Canis lupus familiaris: one gene and its partner. The protein of the gene in region 1 purifies or fractionates together with the protein of each later gene. This does not show direct contact. Links are inferred from orthologs where the notes say so. Each region holds a gene or a part of one and is shown in the gene's direction. Other genes may lie near its edges.

Region 1 (4,297 bases):
GACAGAGGAAACATAAAGACTAATGGGGCTGAAAATATAGATAAAGATCTATGGCCTGAAGATATTGGTTTGGGGAAGAGTATAAAAGGAAGTCAGATTAGGTAGATTAGGTGGGCTCAAGATTCTTTTTTTTAAATTTTTTATTTATTTATGATAGTCATATCAGAGAGAGAGAGAGAGAGAGAGAGAGAGACAGGCAGAGACAGAAGCAGGCTCCATGCCCCGGGAGCCCGACATGGGATTCGATCCCGGGTCTCCAGGATCGCGCCCCGGGCCAAAGGCAGGCGCTAAACCGCTGCGCCACCCAGGGATCCCAAGAGTCTTTTTTTTTTTTTTAAGATTTTATTTATCTACTCATGAGAGACAGAGAGGCAGAGACATAGGCCTCAGAGGGAGAAGCAGGCTTGCTGCAGGAAGCCCAATGCAGAACTCTATCCCAGAACTCCGATCCCACAACTCCGGGATCACACCCTGAGCCGAAGGCGGTTGCTCAATCACTAAACCACCCAGGCATCCCTCAAGATTCTAATTGGGATGCTGGTTGAAAGATGTTCCAGGATGACCAAAGACCTGAAACTAAAGTGACAGTGTCTGGTTGAGGTCCAGTCAGCAACGTGTGATTAATGTGGGCTTTGGGATGTAAAATAGGTTTGACACAGGGGACAGTAGCAAAGGCTGAATTGATGAACAATGTTTTTGTTTCTCTGTTTATGCCTCTCTGGGCTTATGCGTCTCAACAGCTCTGTCTCAGAATGTCTGTCTCCCAGCTTCTCTGTCTCTTAGTGGTTCCCCATATCCATATCTGTGATCCTGTCTGGCATCTGTTTCTCTGATCTCTTCCTTAACATATTTCTCTTCAGTGGCTCTCAGAATCTCCATCTTTGGCTATCCGTGTCTGTCTCAGAATTTAGTTCTCTGCCCCTTCCTTTGTCTGTGTCTGTACTGTAATTACCTTTTTCCCCCAACTGAAGTGTGTCCTTCTGTAAAGCACGAACCTTTTAGTATTCCTCTTGGTATCGTCCCCAGGGACCCGCACAGAGCCTGGCATATAGGAGTCTCTCATATGTTTATGCTTGAATGAAGGCTTTTTCTGAGAGGTAAGGAAAACTCCCAATCTCCTGTCCGCCTACTTCCCGCAGAGCTGGCCGCCTGCCCAGAAACTAGGCTGACAGTCGGGCGGAGAGGGTGGTTGCCATTGTGCGGCTGCTACGGAGTTCTTACCCCAGGTGAAAGAACTCTGGAGGCACCTCGCCGAAGCCTCGCCCTCTGGGCTGCGGCGGCGAGCAGCCGACGCCACGCCCCGGAGTCTGGCGCAGCGGCCCGCCCCCTCGCCCGCCCCGCCACACGCCTCTGCGTCGGCCAATCTGCGCCTGCCCCACCGCCCTGCCCGCGGAGAGTTCGGAGCAAAATGGCTGCGGCCTGTCGGGGCGTGAAGGTAGTTGGGACTTCGCATCTACTGGCTGGTCCGCTGCGCCTGCTGGGACCACGCGGCCGTGGCTCTAGGGGGTAGAGATCGGTGCTGGGAGAAAGGATCACACTTGTCTAGGCCTGCTAGTGCGGCGGTTGGGCTCGGGAGGTGAAGGTCAACTCTCCTACGCATATGTGTGTGGGGTGACTGGATGGGCTGTCTGGGGATGAGACACCCAGAGGTCCTATTCTGAAGGAGAGGAAACACACCTGGGTCACCCCGGGGAGCCTCCGTTGCAGAAGCCTGGAGAACAAACAGGCAGATGAAAGGGTGGGGTTGGTCTGCATCGAGTACCGTTGACCGTTCCTTTCTTCACAGGGCCTGGTTGCTCTAGTAACCGGAGGAGCCTCTGGTTTAGGTCTGGCCACGGCAGAGCGACTGGTGGGGCAAGGGGCCACTGCTGTGCTTCTGGACCTGCCCAACTCTGATGGCGAGGTACAAGCCAAGAAGTTGGGGAAGAACTGCACCTTTGCCGCAGCTGATGTAAGTGTGAGCATGAGGTCACTGAAACTGGCCTGGGAACCCGTGGGGTCCCCTTCGGTAAGGGTCTGTGTGGACAGTGGACCCATCTCCTTGTCCCTTTTGGCCTGAGCCATCTGTCAAGCACTGTGGGAGCACCTGCAATAAGGAATGTACAAAGCCTGGAGCCACAGCAGTGGGGATGGGAATTGGATATATCAGAATCTCGCGGAGGGGGTATGTATAGTTTGAAAATGCATATTGTGCCCTATAATTTTGTATTTACAAAGTTGAAAATTTTTTTATGAGGCTACGGAAAGCAAGCTTGGTGAAATCATCTTGGAAAGTCGAGGTACAAAAAAAACCAGTTCATCATCATAATAATTCTTGAAACTGCTCTGGTCTACAGAAATCTCCAGGGGTATGTGAATTTATCGAAACAGGATATAGATTTGAAAAATGTGACACTGCTCTACAGTATCTCACATTTTCACTTTTGCCCCACTCTCATGTTTTCTTTTGGCCTCCTCCTTGCTTACAGAATTCTGTTGTTACTCAAAGACTGGACTTGCTCTCCCCTTGCCCAGGTTTAGTGGTGAGTGTGTGTGCTGGGAGATGAATACCTTCTCCACTTCTCCCTTTGAAGGTGACCTCAGAGAAGGACGTGCAAGCAGCCCTGACTCTAGCAAAAGAAAAGTTCGGCCGTGTGGATGTGGCAGTCAACTGTGCAGGTATTGCAGTGGCCATCAAGACATACAACTTAAAGAAGAATCAGGCCCATACCTTGGAGGACTTCCAGCGAGTTCTCAATGTAAGGCCTCTGAGGGCTGTAAGAGGTATTTGGCTGTGGGTGCCCCCAAAGATTTTAGGGGACAAATGGTCCTACACCATGTCTCTTCTGGTCTTTCAGGTGAATCTCTTAGGCACCTTCAATGTGATCCGCCTGGTAGCTGGTGAGATGGGCCAGAATGAACCAGACCAGGGAGGCCAACGTGGGGTCATCATCAACACTGCCAGCGTGGCTGCCTTTGAGGGCCAGGTGTGTGGGTAGGGGTTATGGCTTGTGCCTCTTTGGTGACTTGTTAGGGCCCTTCCATGTATGACCTCTACTCCTTCCCCAGGTTGGACAAGCTGCATACTCTGCTTCCAAAGGGGGCATAGTGGGCATGACCCTGCCCATTGCTCGGGATCTGGCTCCTGTGGGCATCCGAGTGATGACCATTGCTCCAGGTAGACATATTCCCTCCCTGCCACACCTGGTATAGGGTAGGTAGGATTCATGGGCAGTTGAGAGGACGGAAAGTATCTCCCGGCTAAGCAGCAGTAGCCTTCCATTTCTGGGCATCGGGAAGTACCCGATGGTAGAGCTAAAGTGAGAAGGGACCAGGGAAATAAGAAAGGAAGGATGAGCCTCTGACTCCGACTGTCTTGCCTAGGCCTATTTGGCACCCCGCTGCTGACCAGCCTCCCAGAAAAAGTGCGCAACTTCTTGGCCAGCCAAGTGCCCTTCCCCAACCGACTGGGTGATCCCGCTGAGTATGCTCATCTGGTACAAGCCATCATCGAGAATCCATTCATCAACGGAGAGGTCATCCGGCTGGATGGGGCCATCCGCATGCAGCCTTGAAGGCAAGGGGCAGAGAAAACATGTGCCCTTCTTTTCTTGCTTCCCTTGGAGTACTGTACTACAGCTTGGGAGGAAGTCCAGTAGCCATCTTGTAACTGCTCAACACTCTGTGCCTAATAAAGTCTCTCTTTCTCACAGGGAGTGGGTAACGCTGTGTGCTGGGGAAACTGGCATGGGGAAGTCAGGTGAATGGGTGAAGACTAACAGGGTCAGATGCAGGCCTAGGGGTTGGGTGGGAAAGGCAGCACCTCATACCTTTTGTGTCCCATTACAACACATGGCCTTGATGTTAGTAATAACTTTATTATCTAGGGCCAAAGGCAGGGATAGTGGGGGAATGGATTTGGGAAGGGAGTCTGCAGCCTCTTCCTCTCTGACTCCCAGCTTTCATGAGCTCAGTGAGGGAGAAGAGAATGATGGTCATTTGGAGCTCAGCGGCTGCTGGTGTTGAACTGCAGGTGATATTGGGTTGTAGGCTGATTGGTGTAGATTATGGAATTCAGATAATTCTGCCTGTGAAAGAAGTTCAGAGGCCTCTGATGCTGATGAACTTTTCCTCTCCCTCTGGCCCTTCCCATCCCTCCCTTGGCATTCATCCATGTCCCCCACCCCTAGAACTTACTGGGCTTTTTGCTCCATAGCCAGCTGCTGATTGAAAGACCCCAGACCCCTTCGAAATTCAGCACAAAGTTCCCTCTCCTGCTCTTCTAACTCCATTGCTGCCTGGGCTGAGTGCAAGGCCT
Region 2 (4,486 bases), on another chromosome or scaffold:
CTTCACGTCCCAGCCCTGCAGCAGGTCGCCGAGGTCCCCGCGTTAAAGTCCTGGCATCAGGCAGCCGACGAGGAGCGACACGTGTAAAGACGTTATCTTAGCACTGCGTGAGGGCACTTTCTCACCACGGCGAGAGCAGGTTAAGTGAAGAGGAAGCGAAATTCTCTAAAGAGTTGGTGTAAGAGGTTAAAACCAGCGAGGAGCACACGCGGGTTAGAGGCCCCTGGCACGGCCGCAAACCCGGGGCCCAGGGTCCCCACGACCGCGCGGCGGTCAGGACCGGAAGGCGGTCGGCTAGCGGCCGACGTCATAGGGAAGCGCCGGGGAGAGGGGGCGGGACTTCCGGCTGCGGCGGGGGCCCCTGAGGTCCGGAAGCGGAGCCGCCGAGCGGAGCGGCGACTGAGGTGCGCGTTCCCGCTCGGCGCTTCCCCGCGGAGCTCGCGTCCCGCCGGGGTCCCTGCGGCGGGCAGCAGCGGGGCCTCTGTGTCTGCACTCCGGGTAGGGATGCGCGTGTTTGCTGTCCTCTTAGTCGTGTGTGTTGAGCTGAGAGGACCCGGGCCCCCCTCGGGAACGCCGCGGCGCGTGTGCGCCCGGGAGGCCCGCAGGCGAGGGGAGGCCCAGTGAGGTCAGGAACGAGGAGGAGGAGACCTGGAACAAGAGCCCTGTTGCCGTAAATGATTTCCTTGTTTGTTTTAAAATTTGGGATTCGTTTCTATGATTAAAAAAAAAATTTTTTTTTTGGGATTCGTTTTGGGATTCGTTTCTAAAAAAAAAAAATCTTTGCGAGTTACAAAGACAAAACTCGAAGGACTTTGTTTCTGAAATCAGTGTTCCTCATATTGGGGCGGAGGACTCCCCGTTAAATATTTCAGGGAGCCTGAATTGTTTTGGAAAGATGTCAACATGGGGCGCCCGCTGGCTCAGTCTGAAAAGCCTCGACTCTTGATCTCGGGGACCTGAGTGAGAGTCCACATTGGGTGAAGAGATTACTTTAAAAAAAAAAAAAAAAGGGACGCCTCAGCGGTTTAGCGCCTGCCTTCGGCCCAGGGCGTGATCCTGGAGATCCGGGATCGAGTCCCACGTCAGGTTCCCTGCATGGAGCCTGCTTCTCCCTCTGCCCCCACCCCCCCCCCCCATGAATAAATAAAGTCTTAAAAAGGGGGGGGGGGCAAAACAAAAAAAAGCAACTAGAAAAGAATATTTAAATAAGCTGTATATCCAAGGTGGGACTTGAACTCAGGACCCCAAGATCAAGAGTCACATGCTCTACCAACTGAGCCAGCCACCTGCCCCAAAACTAAACTTTGTTTTAAAAAAATATAACGGAACATGTTTTAAATGTGAAATCGATTGGTCCAGGATATTTATTTGAAAAATACTTAAGTCATTCCTATCAGCCATAAACTGCCAGGCACTGAGTTCAATGTTAGTAGAGTCCTTGTCCTGGTAGCATGTACCACCTCGTCAGACAAGTAAGTAGCCTGGCAAAGACCAAACAGCGTCACAAACGCTATGATAGAGAGGTCGAGTGTGCTGTAAGAACTAGTAGGAGGGATGCTTGCAGCGAAGCTTGAGATGAGGAATAACTAGAGATGTAGCTGAAGTTTTGTGGAAAACTTTGAGCCAAGTTTGCAATGTAGCCTGGCAGCCATGGATTTCAAATACACACTGGGAACGATATGAGTGCACTGATCAGATTTGCACTAACTCCAAATGGGTTAGAGGTGAGGCAGAGCAGATCTGGACGCTAGAGGATGCAGTTAAGATAATGGGATTCAAAAGAAGTGACTGGAGTCAAGATGTACTTAGAAAATAAAGGGACTATAATTCCGCTGGATTATATATGGTGGGTGTGAGGGCGGTAATAAAATGACTCCCAGTTTCTGGCTTCAGCAAATGGATGAATACCTGTCTGTAGCCCTCTTTTTTTTTTTTTTTTTTCCAATCTAAAATTTTACATGTGAGGTCTAATCTATCTCCATGGCTTCAGTCACCATTCAACACAAGAAACACTTCAAATCAACATATTAAAATCTCTCGGAGGGCAGCCCCGGTGGCGCAGCGGTTTGGCGCCGCCTGCAGCCCGGGGTGTGATCCTGGAGACCCTGGATCGTGTCCCACATCCGACTCCCTGCTTGGAGCCTGCTTCTCCCTCTGCCTGTGTCTCTGCCTCTTTCTCTCTCTCTCTCTGAATAAATAAATAAATAAATCTTAAAAAAAAATAAAATAAAATCTCTCGGGACGCCTGGGTGGCTCAGCATCTGCCTTCGGCTCAGGTTGTGATCCCAGGGTCTTGGGATCGAGTCCCACATCAGGCTCCTTGCAGGGAGTCTGCTTTGGCCTCTGCCTGTGTTTCTGCCTCTCATGAACAAATAAATAAAATCTTAAAAAAAAAAAAAAAAGATACTCTCTTTCCCTTCCCTTTCCAAATTGCTGATCCGAACCCAAGGCAGCCGCTTAATAGACCGAGGCACCCACGCACTTCTATTTTGTTTTTGAATAAGTAGGTCTTCCTCTGTTTCTTTTTTGAAAACATAAGAGCATTAATAAAGCAGCTCCTAAGGGTTTTTTTCAGTAGATGCCATCCTCTTTAGCTTTTCTGCCCTTCGTCTTCTTGTCTTGACGTGTTGCTTATGTTAAGGATCTTGTGTTTGGGTCTGTATCCGGACTCAGTATAGAATGGAGAAGAATACAGTGTCATGATCTCCCCCTTTCAGCAGTACATTACTTTGTTACCCAGAAATACTGTTATCCTGGGCCCCTAAATACAAATCTAAAAAAGATCTTCAAGGTATTCTTTTCCCTGAAGCAATAGTGAAATTCATGTCTAAAATAACCCAAATAAGTTAAACTTTTAGCCTGGTGAGTGATTACAGGCTCTAGGCCACAGGAGTCTAGGAAAAATTAATGGAATAGCAAATAACGTTGAGCTTACTTTGTGTTTCAAAAATCAGTTGCTTTTTGGGGGTCTCAAATTTATACTTGCACAATTAGTTGACAGGTTTTAAACATCTTTATCTAACTTTGCATTACATTTTGCTTCTTTTATAGGGGTCTTACATGTCTGTTTTCCTCAAAATGAATGGTAGTATCATCTTAAGATCTTTGGCCAGATTTTTGGTGCCATTTACCATTCCTAGGAAGAGAAGGGTTTTATGTTCAGGAGTTCTGCAACGATACTTGTCTTCCAAGATACCAGCTGTGTCCTATCCCAATAAGGAGAGTACATCACCTCCTGAAAAGCTGGAATTGGATAGTTGGAAAATTACGATGAAATCTAGTGTGCAAGATGTTTCAGCTGACTCAGGTAGCAAAGATGAAGATCCTGTAGTTGCCATGAAGGAGTTAATTGAGATGTGGAGATTGCTTGGCAGAGAAGTACCAGAACACATCAGTGAAGAAGAACTCAAAACTGCCATGGAATGTGTTTCTAAATCATCAAAGAAAAAATACTTAAGATATTTATATATCAAGGAAAAAGCAAAAAAAGCTAGGCAAACAAAAAAGGAATTGAAAGCAGCAACAAAGGAAAAAGCAATAAAAGACCAGCTGCTAGAAACCACTAAGGAAGATAAACAGCAAAACTTTCTATTTCTACGACTTTGGGATAGGAATATGGACACTGCTATGGGCTGGAAAGGTGCTCAGGCCATGCAATTCGGGCAGCCTTTGGTTTTTGACATGGATTATGGTAACTATATGAAACCAAAAGAACTTCGGAATACTGTTTGCCAACTTTTAGAATCTGAAGGATGGAACAGAAGAGATGTCGATCCTTTCCATATTTATTTCTGCAACCTTCAAGTAGGTGGTGTTTATCATAAAGAGTTAGTTAGACGTTATGAAGAAAAATGGAGTAAATTGCTTTTAACAACAACAGAAAAGTCTTACATAGATTTATTCCCAAAGGATAGTATTATATATTTAACTGCAGATTCTCCCAATGTTATGACTACTTTCAAGCATGATAAAATTTACGTGGTGGGGTCTTTTGTTGATAAAGGAACGCAGAAAGGCATATCCCTAGCCAAAGCAAAACGGCTGAAGCTGGCAACAGAATGCCTTCCATTAGATAGATATTTACAGTGGGATACTGGTACCAAAAATCTCACCTTAGATCAAATGATGCGTATTTTGTTATGCCTGAAAAACACTGGTAGTTGGGAAGAGGCTCTGAGGTTTGTTCCTAAGAGAAAACATGCTGGTTATCTGGAGATATCTCCGTCTTCTCAAGAAGAGCTTGTCAACAGATTGAAGAGGTCAAAGACTTTTAATTCATTTCCAAAAGACTCTCTAAAAATACACACACAGAAAAGGTGGCTTAAATGAGAATACTGGATAACTTAAATGGTCACAATATATGTAAATCAAACCATGATGCTGTATGCCTCCAATTTATACTGTAATGTATGTCAGTTAATAAAACTGGAAGAGAAAAGGCAAACGGTGGAAATACAGTTCTGCTGGTATATTTCTTCCTAAATGG

Evidence for each region.
Region 2: the proteins of HSD17B10 (region 1) and TRMT10C purify together in Homo sapiens (co-immunoprecipitation; 3 studies listed by BioGRID and IntAct, counting the BioPlex papers as one, with this or other methods). This does not show direct contact. The link is inferred for Canis lupus familiaris from reciprocal best matches to the Homo sapiens genes HSD17B10 and TRMT10C.

The regions. Positions count from the first base shown.
Region 1 is NC_049260.1:45,501,903-45,506,199, reverse strand, and holds HSD17B10 (3-hydroxyacyl-CoA dehydrogenase type-2), read left to right. Parts: upstream 1-1,280; 5' UTR 1,281-1,408; coding exon 1,409-1,435; intron 1,436-1,786; coding exon 1,787-1,951; intron 1,952-2,573; coding exon 2,574-2,738; intron 2,739-2,837; coding exon 2,838-2,966; intron 2,967-3,048; coding exon 3,049-3,157; intron 3,158-3,363; coding exon 3,364-3,554; 3' UTR 3,555-3,691; downstream 3,692-4,297. Other genes in the region: RIBC1 (RIB43A-like with coiled-coils protein 1), read right to left, coding at 3,986-4,067, 4,177-4,297. UniProt on the Homo sapiens protein: Mitochondrial dehydrogenase involved in pathways of fatty acid, branched-chain amino acid and steroid metabolism. Acts as (S)-3-hydroxyacyl-CoA dehydrogenase in mitochondrial fatty acid beta-oxidation, a major degradation pathway of fatty acids.
Region 2 is NC_049254.1:8,358,076-8,362,561, forward strand, and holds TRMT10C (tRNA methyltransferase 10 homolog C), read left to right. Parts: upstream 1-1,537; 5' UTR 1,538-1,679; coding exon 1,680-1,724; intron 1,725-2,417; exon of another isoform or gene 2,418-3,051; coding exon 3,052-4,329; 3' UTR 4,330-4,457; downstream 4,458-4,486. UniProt on the Homo sapiens protein: Mitochondrial tRNA N(1)-methyltransferase involved in mitochondrial tRNA maturation. Component of mitochondrial ribonuclease P, a complex composed of TRMT10C/MRPP1, HSD17B10/MRPP2 and PRORP/MRPP3, which cleaves tRNA molecules in their 5'-ends.